Mus musculus: one gene and its partners. The protein of the gene in region 1 interacts with the protein of each later gene in a pairwise test. Links are inferred from orthologs where the notes say so. Each region holds a gene or a part of one and is shown in the gene's direction. Other genes may lie near its edges.

The links.
Region 2: the proteins of Hoxa1 (region 1) and Slit1 interact in binary tests that used the Homo sapiens proteins (3 or more experiments, as listed by UniProt). The link is inferred for Mus musculus from reciprocal best matches to the Homo sapiens genes HOXA1 and SLIT1.
Region 3: the proteins of Hoxa1 (region 1) and Chic2 interact in binary tests that used the Homo sapiens proteins (3 or more experiments, as listed by UniProt). The two-hybrid records come from large-scale screens. The link is inferred for Mus musculus from reciprocal best matches to the Homo sapiens genes HOXA1 and CHIC2.

Annotation. Positions count from the first base shown.
Region 1 is NC_000072.6:52,156,173-52,159,921, reverse strand, and holds the start of Hoxa1 (homeobox protein Hox-A1), read left to right. Parts: upstream 1-1,604; 5' UTR 1,605-1,700; coding exon 1,701-2,355; intron 2,356-2,832; coding exon 2,833-3,188; 3' UTR 3,189-3,749. UniProt on the Homo sapiens protein: Sequence-specific transcription factor. Regulates multiple developmental processes including brainstem, inner and outer ear, abducens nerve and cardiovascular development and morphogenesis as well as cognition and behavior.
Region 2 is NC_000085.6:41,741,391-41,745,139, reverse strand, and holds the start of Slit1 (slit homolog 1 protein precursor), read left to right. Parts: upstream 1-1,283; 5' UTR 1,284-1,731; coding exon 1,732-1,928; intron 1,929-3,749. UniProt on the Homo sapiens protein: Thought to act as molecular guidance cue in cellular migration, and function appears to be mediated by interaction with roundabout homolog receptors.
Region 3 is NC_000071.6:75,024,131-75,027,779, reverse strand, and holds part of Chic2 (cysteine-rich hydrophobic domain-containing protein 2), read left to right. Parts: intron 1-364; coding exon 365-419; intron 420-556; coding exon 557-712; intron 713-3,649.

The DNA of each region.
Region 1 (3,749 bases):
CCCCCAAACTCACACGTAAATTACACTGTTAATTTCATGCCTGATATAAAGCTAGAAACATCGAGAAGAAAACTTGTGCAGAACTGTCTGCACGGTGTTTTTTAAGTGACCGCTGAATTTCTCCTCCTTAAGACTATGTCCATTCTCATCTCTGTTTGGCCTTTTCTTTCTCCAAGCTTAGAGTTGACGTGACATCTAATAGTAAACAGCAATTACTGACACCATCAGCATCATTGCAGGACAAGGTTGATGGGAAACAGGACCCCTGTCCTGGGATGATGCTCACATCTGCACGTGTCTCTCTGGGGAGTGACCTGCAGGTTCACACAAGCCCGTTGGAAAGGGTCCCATCCACTCAGTCATCTGTCCCTCCCACCTGCCGGTCCTCAACACCCCCCATGCCCCAGTCCACACAGGCAATAGGGGATGGTGGGAAGGGGGGGCTCTTCCACTCCTAACTTGCCTCTCCTGGAAGAGAGAAACTCGACGGGGGAGGTCTGCATACTTTTTAGGAGTTGCCTGTTATCTGCCCTTCTGAGGCCTACCCTAGAGTGAGCATGCTCCTGGGTCTCTAAGAGTTGGCAGATGGCCTGCAGCTCAGGCTCGGCCCTCACGCCAGTCAGCCACGTCTGCTGGCGTCAACAATCTCCTTTGCCTTCTACTCCTTAAACTCCAGTAGCAGAGTTGCCCCGATTTTGCAGGGCTACCAAGAGCAAAGCGACAGAGAAGGAGAGAGGGCAGAGAAGAGAGTGGACACCCGGCCTTTCCCAGAGAGCTGGGTTCGTAGCCCCCCCCACCCCCACCCCCACCCCCGAATCCCGGGACCCTGGGGTCGAATTACAGAAGCTCCCATTGCCATGCTATTGGCCGGCAGGAATCAGGGAAGAGGGCTCTAAGACCCTTTGGATGAGGACAGAAGTTTCTTTTCTTGCTTTGGTCCCCAGCACATTCACCATGGTTCCTCCCAGTCAATCCTCTGCGCACGTCCCTCTACATTCCGAGGCTGGCGAGCCAGTGACGCAACCTCGCCCTAGGCGCCGGGATTCCGGGCTCAGGTCTCTTGCAGGGGTTGGGTAGTGGCGGCCGCCCCGAGCTGAGGGCGTGGTGTCTGTTGGATTCCCACCCTTCCCACCCCGCGTGCTCCCAGCTCCGCCAGGGTCCTTGCGACCACGCAGAGATTTTCGGCCCACAAGATGCCCGCCACAAGAGAGCCAGGAGGCCTCATCCCCTCTCACCTCTTGCCAGTTCAGCTTTCTGGGCTGGGTGGGGAAGGGGCCGCGGAGGGGGCCTCCCATCCCCCCACATCTGGTGGCGGAGGCGCGCAAAGCCGGGCGCGCGCAGAAGGCAGTCTCGACTCCCTTTGGTCCCAGTGCTCCAAGTCAGCTCCGGGAGCGGCCGCTGCTACCGCCGCGGCCCGGGCTGCCTGGGGGGGCGAGCGCGCGTCACCTACACTGAGGAGCGCCGGGGATTTAAATGCCACTGAAACGGTGATCCATCACGGCCGCAGCCGGTAAACTTTCGCAGGCGGCTCAGCCATTGGCTGGTAGAGTCACGTGTCCTCCCCTCGAGCCCTCCGCCTGCCCGCCCCGCCTCTTGCGCACTGTACATTCATATCATTTTTCTTCTCTGGTCCTATGGAGGAAGTGAGAAAGTTGGCACGGTCACCCAGGGCTTCGCAGGATCCAATCACTCAGTGACAGATGGACAATGCAAGAATGAACTCCTTTCTGGAATACCCCATCCTTGGCAGTGGCGACTCTGGGACCTGCTCGGCGCGAGCTTACCCCTCTGACCATGGGATTACAACTTTCCAATCCTGCGCGGTCAGTGCCAACAGCTGCGGCGGCGACGACCGCTTCCTAGTGGGCAGGGGGGTGCAGATCAGCTCGCCCCACCACCACCACCACCACCACCACCATCACCACCCCCAGACGGCTACTTACCAGACTTCTGGAAACCTTGGGATTTCTTATTCCCACTCGAGTTGTGGTCCAAGCTATGGCGCGCAGAACTTCAGTGCGCCTTATGGCCCCTATGGATTAAATCAGGAAGCAGACGTAAGTGGTGGGTACCCCCCGTGCGCTCCCGCTGTTTACTCTGGAAACCTCTCGACTCCCATGGTCCAGCATCACCACCACCACCAGGGTTATGCTGGGGGCACAGTGGGCTCGCCCCAGTACATTCACCACTCATATGGACAAGAGCAGCAGACTCTGGCCCTGGCCACGTATAATAACTCCTTATCCCCTCTCCACGCCAGCCACCAAGAAGCCTGTCGTTCCCCTGCTTCAGAGACGTCTTCTCCAGCGCAGACCTTTGACTGGATGAAAGTTAAAAGAAACCCTCCCAAAACAGGTAAGTCCTGCCGGCTGACAGACAAATGCTGTTCGATTTTTGAAAGGGGCTGGCACACCTAGTTTCCTAGGAAAATGAATGATTTTTAAAAGATTGGTTCTTGTTTATGTCTAATGTCATCTAGAGTTGTAGTGAGTGGTGTAGGGTGCCCAGGTGTGCAGAGGCAAAAGCGTTTCACAGGGGCTGAGGTTTAAATGGTCTATAGTTAGATAGTGTGCGGGGAGTGGGAGGTGGTGATGGTGGTGATGGTGGTGATGGTGATGTCCTGTTAATATCTACAAGGCTCCATTAATCACGAGCCTGATCACACTAATGGTTGACTTCAGGTTAACACTGCTTACACATCGTCACTGGCGCTTCCCGATAGGGTTTGTGCTCGCTGAGTAGTTAACCGAATATTGCCTCAAGCTTGGGGCAATCTGGATAAAGGTTTAAGATTTTTTTTTTAATCTTTTCTCTCTTCCTCCCCTACCCTAGGGAAAGTTGGAGAGTACGGCTACGTGGGTCAACCCAACGCAGTGCGCACCAATTTCACCACCAAGCAGCTCACAGAGCTGGAGAAGGAGTTCCACTTCAACAAGTACCTTACACGAGCGCGCAGGGTGGAGATTGCCGCGTCCCTACAGCTCAATGAGACCCAGGTGAAGATCTGGTTCCAGAATCGCCGCATGAAGCAGAAGAAGCGTGAGAAGGAGGGGCTCCTGCCCATCTCCCCTGCCACTCCTCCTGGCAGCGATGAGAAAACGGAAGAATCATCTGAGAAATCTAGCCCCTCGCCCAGTGCCCCTTCTCCGGCATCGTCTACCTCAGACACTCTGACTACCTCCCACTGAGGCTACTCCAGCCCAACTCTGCAGCCCAGGCTTCTCCCTGGGCTGGGATTTCTTACCCAAAGCACATTCTTAGCTTATCTTCCTTTCTTTACAGACTCTCTCTTCCTTTCTCGTCCCATCTGGGGAGCTCCTGGCCAAGATAAGGTATTTCCAGAGAATTCTGGAGCCTTGGTTGGAAGTTAACTCCTTCATCCACATCGGGTGTCCACATCAATTGCTGATGGCTCCCAACATCCTTTCCTTCACTGTTGTGAGATTTTTTTCTCCCCACAACCTATGATTCCTTTTAGATGTCGGCTGGAGAACAGTTAGTTCCCTTTGCCATCAGACATTTGCAGGAAGGAGGCATCTCTCCTTTTATCTATGTATTGTTCTTCTCCACCTAGCCCTTAAGTAGGACATAGAGGAGAGAGAGTGTCCAAAGACTCATGAAGAAGAGATGCACTGTGTTTACACAATTAATTCACCCCCTAACTTAGCTGGTTTCATGTGTGTGAGTTTGCTGGTTGTAAATGCTTTCCCGTCAGAGATTTATCTTTATACACATTTTATAGAAATATG
Region 2 (3,749 bases), on another chromosome or scaffold:
TAGCTCCACTAGGGGGGCTTTTGACTCTTGACCATCTGAGCTACTTCTGATGCCCAGTTGTTATCTGCACATAGGGCCCTGACTCCCGGAGCTCAGCTCAACACGAACTCCAAAGCTTGCGTGGAGTTTCCAACAGAGGAATGCTCGACAGAGCCATCTTTATCGGGGGGGGGGGGGGGGGGGGGGAAGTCCTTCTCTTTGAGTGCAAAGCTTTGGAAGGGATGCACATGGTGTGGAATAGGAGGAAGGGGACACCCACAGTGACACTCAGATCACCAGATCAACCCTGTTGATCAATGGGATGACAGATGTCTCAGCCAGATCTCCCTCACATCCGGAGCTCAGCTCTTTAGAGACCCAGAGAGCCACAGCTGTCCGTTTTGGGGGAGGTGCTTTCTTTTCTGGGGTTGGAGGGAATTCTGTCCCTCACTGGATTTCCTATTCACACCCACATCCCCAACTCTGTCAGAATAAGAAAATTCCTTGCCCATGGGGCTGTGAGGCCCGAGGTCCTATTCAGGTACCAGTTGACTGGGTGGTGTTTTTTTCTTCTAAACAGGTTCTGTGTTCTCTCCACTCTGGCCTTTTGAGAGGACCAAATATTCCTTTTCTTCTGTTTCCACCTGCCAGATGTGGAGAGGCTAGTTGCTGGATTTCCAAGGTGGCTTCCTATTGGTATACCAGTAGAGAGGCTTGTGTAGAAAACACCTCCCCTCCGGACTTACAAAGTCCTGTCAGGACTCCTGTCATCCCAGCTGGCTGGCTTCTGTTCCCGGAAGAGGTTGGGTTCTGCCTTTAGGGAGAGTATGTGTTGAGGGAGAAGACTAACCTGGCCTGAGGCTTTTATATTCTCTCAAGTCTCTTCCCTCAAGGTCCCAGGCTGGGCAAGGAAAGACAGCTTGGAGAGGCCATCTGGTACAAGAAGCCTCACCAACAGTTGACAAAGGAAGTTGGTGGGGCCCGGTGACCTCTTCAGCCATTGGGGAAGTCTGTGGTCCCAGGGAAGGGAAGGTGTAGGGAAAAAAAATCTTTTTGCTCCTCTGCCCTAGTAGCTGAGGGTACTGAAGTGACTGGTCTAAATGTACACATCATTGCAGTGTGTGTGTGTGTGTGTGTGTGTGTGTGTGTAGCTTACAGAGCAGGTCCAGTCTGTAAGCCCCCTTCCCCGGGCCCCCGCAGCCCTTGGCGCCTGGGAGGTTGCACCTTTGAAACTGTATGCCAGCGGCTGGACCTCTGTAGCAGCAGAGAAGTGGTGGGGAGGAGGCGGGCGGTGGTCCGTGCTTGGGGGGGAGGGCGGGAAGGAGTCTGGCCCTGGAAGTGTGCTTTTCGATTGATGGATGACTGCCGGGTGTGAGCGAGCGTGCGGGTGTGAGTGTGTATGTGTGTGTGTGTGTGTGCGCGCGCGCGCGAGGTGTGTGTGTGTGCGCGCGCGCGGGGCCTGCCCATTTTCCTCCTCACAGCAGTCAGTTGGGAGCTGGAGGGAGAGGGAGACGCCGGCAGCGAGCACTGGGAGAGGAGCTGAGCGCCCTCCGCTTAAGACGCCTTTCCTGGGTCTACGCACAGACGCTGTCGCTGGGAGCATCTAGGTACCACTCGATCCGCAAGGGCGCATCGCACGATTCCACCGGCTCTTCGGTCCTTCGGTGGGGATAGCACCTGGAGCTAGCCCCGGACGGGGATGGTCAGCGGCTGCGGCCGTCTGGCACGCGAACGGGACACGGCGAAGGCACCATGGCGCTAACGCCCCAGCGCGGGTCCTCTTCGGGGTTGAGCCGACCGGAGCTGTGGCTGCTGCTGTGGGCAGCCGCGTGGCGCCTGGGGGCCACGGCGTGCCCCGCCCTCTGCACCTGCACCGGCACTACGGTGGACTGCCACGGCACGGGTTTGCAGGCCATCCCCAAGAACATCCCACGGAACACCGAGCGCCTGTGAGTACGGATCCGCCCGTCCACTGGGAGTCCCTCCACCCCCTCGACCCCTGGTTGCTCTCCCACCCTGACGGATCAGAGGGACCGGAATCGGGTGGGGGGCGCTAGACCGTTGGGCTCCGTCGCCAGTAGAGGAGTCAGTGCCTTGGTAGGTTTTTAGGAAACCAGAAACCAGGAGCGCATTTGCAGGTGCCAGATTCAAAGGGCCCTGGAAGCATCCTCAGCCCTTCCTCACACCTGCCCCTTGCGATCTCTGCTCTCCGCTGTGACAGGTCCTTCCCACTGTACAGCACTTTATTCCTCTAGGGTACCTGGAGCCTTCCTGGCACCTAGGAGAACAGCTTCCCACAGACTCCAGGCACGGTGTCTCCTTTTGGACACATGGGGTTTGCTGGGTTCTGAGTGGGCAGGTGGATTTGGGCTCTGAGGGCTCGCTGCCACGGACCAGAAGTTTCTGAGCACCTATTCTACCCATTGTTTGGTCCCAGAGCCTGGATAAGTCTTCCCTTGAAGGTGTAAGCAACCTACCCTCTCCTTCAGTCTTCATCCTGAGCCCAGGCAGACAGACAATGGGACCCGAGGGCCTTTGGTTTGGGTTTTGGGGAATATGACATCGGAACCCTTACAGGGTGAGAGGAGTCCTGGACTGCGAGCTCAGGGATGATACTAGAGGCCAGGAGCTCGGACTGGGACATAAGGTTGGAGACATTGACAGTGACAAGTCATAAAAACCACCCTTCCTTCCCTCTTGTTCTCTTGTACTTCTGGATTTTGAGGTAACTCCACCCTTTCCAGACCTGCCTCATGAGCACGGTGGAGCGTGTGTGATACATTTTCTCTTTTCCTGCCAAATGTGGTCGGTGTGAAATTCCGGCACCTAAGGATACCACGGCAGTGTGAGTCCGGGGGGTCTGCGGGTCGTGCGAGTGGATTTTTAGTCACACACAGGGCCTTTGTACACTTTCAGAGGTGACTGTACCAGGGGATTTTTTTTTTTTTTTGATACTTTGGGGAAGGTTAGTGGCTTCTTTGAAACCATGCTCCTCTTTCTTTCCACACTCCTGGGTGACTACAGTGAGCGTCAGAAAAGGTATACATATTTTGATAACTCAGGAGCATACTTTCATGAGTCTCAGCTGGCCAGAGGCAAACCCCGGGGAGAGCTGTTGCCTACATCAAACTCTGAACTTCTGTACCGAGGCCAGCAATTAGTGAGTACATGCTTGCCCCAGACTCTTTCTTGGCTGGGTTTGAGACATTCCCGTGACAGTTTCAGAGAATTTGCAATCTGCATGCAATCTAGTTGGGAACTGGCGTGTGTGTGTGTGTGTGTGTGTGTGTGTGTGTGTGTGTGTGTGCACGCACCCATGTAGAAATTGGGGTGACCGAACTGAGTTTCCTTGAGTCAGCCTCATGGACCTAGAGAGAAATTAAGGACAATCAAGTCTGTTTGGAGGACCTCTGAGGTCACCTTGGCCTGTTCTTTCCGGATGAAATTTCTGTCCCCTGCTTTACCCAGTGGTGTGTTTTTTCTGGGCTATTACCCTGGCAGCAGCCCACACAGGAGACACATGAGGCCCTCTCCTTTGCTTTTGCACCTTGTCTACTCTGCATTCTTGCTTTCCCACTGTCCTACTACCTTGACTGCTTCTGATAGGCTCTGCTTTGCCTTTCATGAATTCTTTAGTCTTTTCTAGTCAGTGAGATGGAAGTGAATCCCCAGACAGAGCAGAGTTGGGGGTAGCCCTGGAAGCCAGAGTATCTGGGTTAGAAGCCCAGCTCTGTGAATTATGGGCTATGTGACTTTGGACAAGTTACCAG
Region 3 (3,649 bases), on another chromosome or scaffold:
CAGTGAAAGCTAGAAAATTTGCTATTTGATTAATATATTATGCTTTGATACTGTGGTAGCTCATGAAATAAACCGTCTTTTTTACTTACATACTGTTGGTTATTTAACATTGTGCTTCATGCTTCATCATTCTATAAAAGTTTTGGTTCTACTGGGAAACTCTTTCTATGCTAATTTTGTAAGTTGCTCATTGTGATTATCTTAATGAGCAACTTACAAAAGGTATCTTAGACCTTCACTCTGTCTCCGACACTCTCTGAGGGATCCATGTTCTGTTCACACCACCTTTAAGTTAGATAGTTTAAGCATCTGTGATGTTGGCACAGTGACATATAATAACATATTTTTTCCTTTTTGAAAACAGATTTGGACTGAGCAACAAATTTGAATCAGAATTCCCTTCTTCATTAACTGGAAAAGTGAGTGTCTCTCTTATTGTTATTAATCTACTGTTTCTATATCTCAAATTATTTTCTCATAGAAATGAGTAAATGTGTGCTGAGACCCATTTATTGTCACTCAGCATCTCAGTGTTACGTTTCTTCCCTTCCTGTAGGTAGCTCCTGAAGAATTTAAAGCCAGCATCAACAGAGTTAACAGCTGTCTCAGGAAGAATCTTCCTGTTAATGTGCGGTGGTTGCTTTGTGGCTGCCTGTGCTGCTGCTGCACGTTAGGGTGCAGTATGTGGCCAGTTATTTGCCTCAGTAAAAGAGTAAGTTGAATTATGTCTTTTAATTTACATTTAGAAGTGTGAAACAAGTCTTACTTTTACCTTTTTTTTTTCTGTTTAATGAACCACACTGTTCTGAATGCTATATAGAAGTAATCTGATATAGTAAAGCAAGATTAATTAAATCATATATTCAAATATTATAAAACAGCTGTGTAACAGTCGTCATAATTTTTATACATTAGGAAATTATAGTCAAAAGGTGCAGCCCTATGTCTGTATGCATTAATTATGGACTAGAATGGTACTGTATATTTCTGTGCCCATGGACATACTTCTGAACCTCTTTAAATCTGATTGATACAGCTATAAAATAATAATATTCACCTGTGATTTGAATAGAATTGTTGTAAGGATACAGTAAAATAGTATTTATAAAGCTCTTAGCTGAACAGCTTATGAGAAATTCTGTCAGCTTCAATGCTGTTTTAAGTATAAGAGAGACAGTTTAAAGGAAGAACTGTGTACTTTGGCTCATGGTTTTAGAGATTTTAGTCATGGACTGTTACGCTGGCTCCATTACTTCTGTGCCTGACCATGCAAAACCATCATGATGGCTGAGTAGAGCTGCATGCCTCATAGTCATCAGGCGTCAGAGAGGGAAGGAGGAGATTGGAACAAGATGTAGCCCCTGAGAACAGAGTCCTTCCTACCCATTCCTCTAGATCCTATGTCTAGACATTTGAACCACTTTCCAATATGCCTTCATGTTAGGAATCTATGAGTGATTTAGTCTGTTGAGTAGGTTGTATTCCTTGTAATCCAGATCATCTTGCAGTCCACAGTCTCCCAAGCTCTACTGTCAACTGAGCTATCGCACAGCTCTCCTCTTACTTTTAAATGACATTGGTGTACGTCAGTGTCTCCTGTGCACTCACGTTCAGTACCTGAGTCTCTGTGGTCTATCCTGTCAGAGTTCCTGGAAGTAGTTACAGAGGCTAGTGGTCCTGGTTCTCTGCAAGAGCAGCCAGTACTCCCAACTCACCTCTCCATCCCCTAACATACAAGCTTTTGGAGGGAGTCCTTCAAATCTAACCCATAACAGAAGTTGTCAATAAGGAGTGACTAATATTATTACTAGTACTATGAGAGTACCCATGGAGGAGATAAAATGCTTACAGGAAAATAATATGGGTTATTTTATTTTTGTACTTTACAGTTTCTCTATAATGAATATACACTGACTCTGATTAGGAAAAATCATTGGAAGACCTAATTTTCATTGCTTATAATGAAAAAGTTCCAAGATGTTAGTTATAGATATGCCAAAATGATACAAATCAAAAGTTGGTTGGGTGGTTTTTGTTTTGTTTTGTTTTTGAAGACATTGTTTTACTCCTTGGATTTGACTGGCTTGAAACTCACTTCAGGTTAGTCTTGAACTAAGAGATCTGCCTGCCTCTGCCTCCCAAATGCTCCAGGCCACCATGCCTAACACATCACCATTGTTTTTGTTATCTTAACTATTATACTTACACGTGTGAAGTTGATGTAATATTCAGCCATGTATGGTAACTCAGGTATGAAATCCTAACACTCAGGCTGAGACAGGAGGATTGTGAATTTGCTACATAGTAAGTTAAGGCCAGCCTGGAAAACCAAAGGAGGGGGGCAGGTGTCAACCAATTTGGCTTGAATGTTTTTCTGTGGAAACATTTAATTTTTGTGCTAGATAATGGCGAGGAAATGAAGGAAATCACATTTAATTTGTTACTTGACTTCTATTATAGAGTTAGAGGTATATTTTACTGAAAATTTTTGAGCTGATTTATTGCTAGAAAGGAAATGATGCTTTCATAATAGAGTTGTATATTATTTTTTATAATATTTAAAATACTTATATTTCTCATAAACTATTTTATTATTTGTGTGTTGAACATGGGAGGTGCAGGTACCGCCAGAAGTGTTTAAAGGCCAGGGGACAACACTGTGCAGTCAGTTCTCTTCTGCCGTTGAGTGGGTTTCGGGTGGATCTCAGGTCATTGAGCTTGTGCAGCGGAAGGGTTTTTTTTTTTTTTTTTTTTGCTGGCCCTACTTTCTTAGAGATTTTTTTACCCCCCTAATTCTTGCCAGATTGCCTCTAGGCCACAAAAAAACTGTCTGGCAGTGTTTGGATTCACAGTTGTATTTTCTGATTTTCTTTAGGCTCTGTCTCTCACTGCCTTCCTCATTTCAGGCCTTGCTGTTGTCTGAGTGGCTGTCCAGGTCATATGGTTACGGTGGTGGGCTTTGTTTGTTGGATCTGGCCTTGATTTTCAGATCTGATCTTATCTTTTCCCTCCCTCCCTCCTTCCCTCCCTCCCTCCCTCCCTCCCTCCCTCTCTCCCTCTCTTTCTCCCTTTCTCCCTCCCTCTTTCCTCCCTTCTTTTACTTTTTAAATGAGTAATACAAGAGATTTTAATATGTGGATGCTATATTTAAAAAACAAAAGTGAAACCTTATAGTTCTCTATACATTTCCTGCCTTGAGTATAACTTCTCTGTACCATGTCATGAATGTATGGAGAGTACTAGAACACCTTTGTAAGATGGGAGACAAGATAGCAGGGATTTCCAACCCTCATTGTCATGGACCACTCTGCTAGTCTAATAATGCTAGAGCCTATAAATACTATTTTAGTATAACATTTAATTATTCTAAATACTACATTAATCAATATTTTAGATTACAAAACCCCAATTATATATCAAACAACTAAAATAAGGAACTGGAAAGTATTTGAAGATGTGAGAAAATGCTGTTCAGTGACTGCAATGACAACATTCTGGTAATGTGCAAGCTGCGAGGGCTTCACTAAGAACTAGGAAAGGAGGATGTCATAAAAGAAGACAAAGGCCACAGTATACTCCAGGCCCATCCACACTGGATGTCCCATTTACCTATCTGTTCTCCTCATAACAAGACTCAGGGAGAATCCAA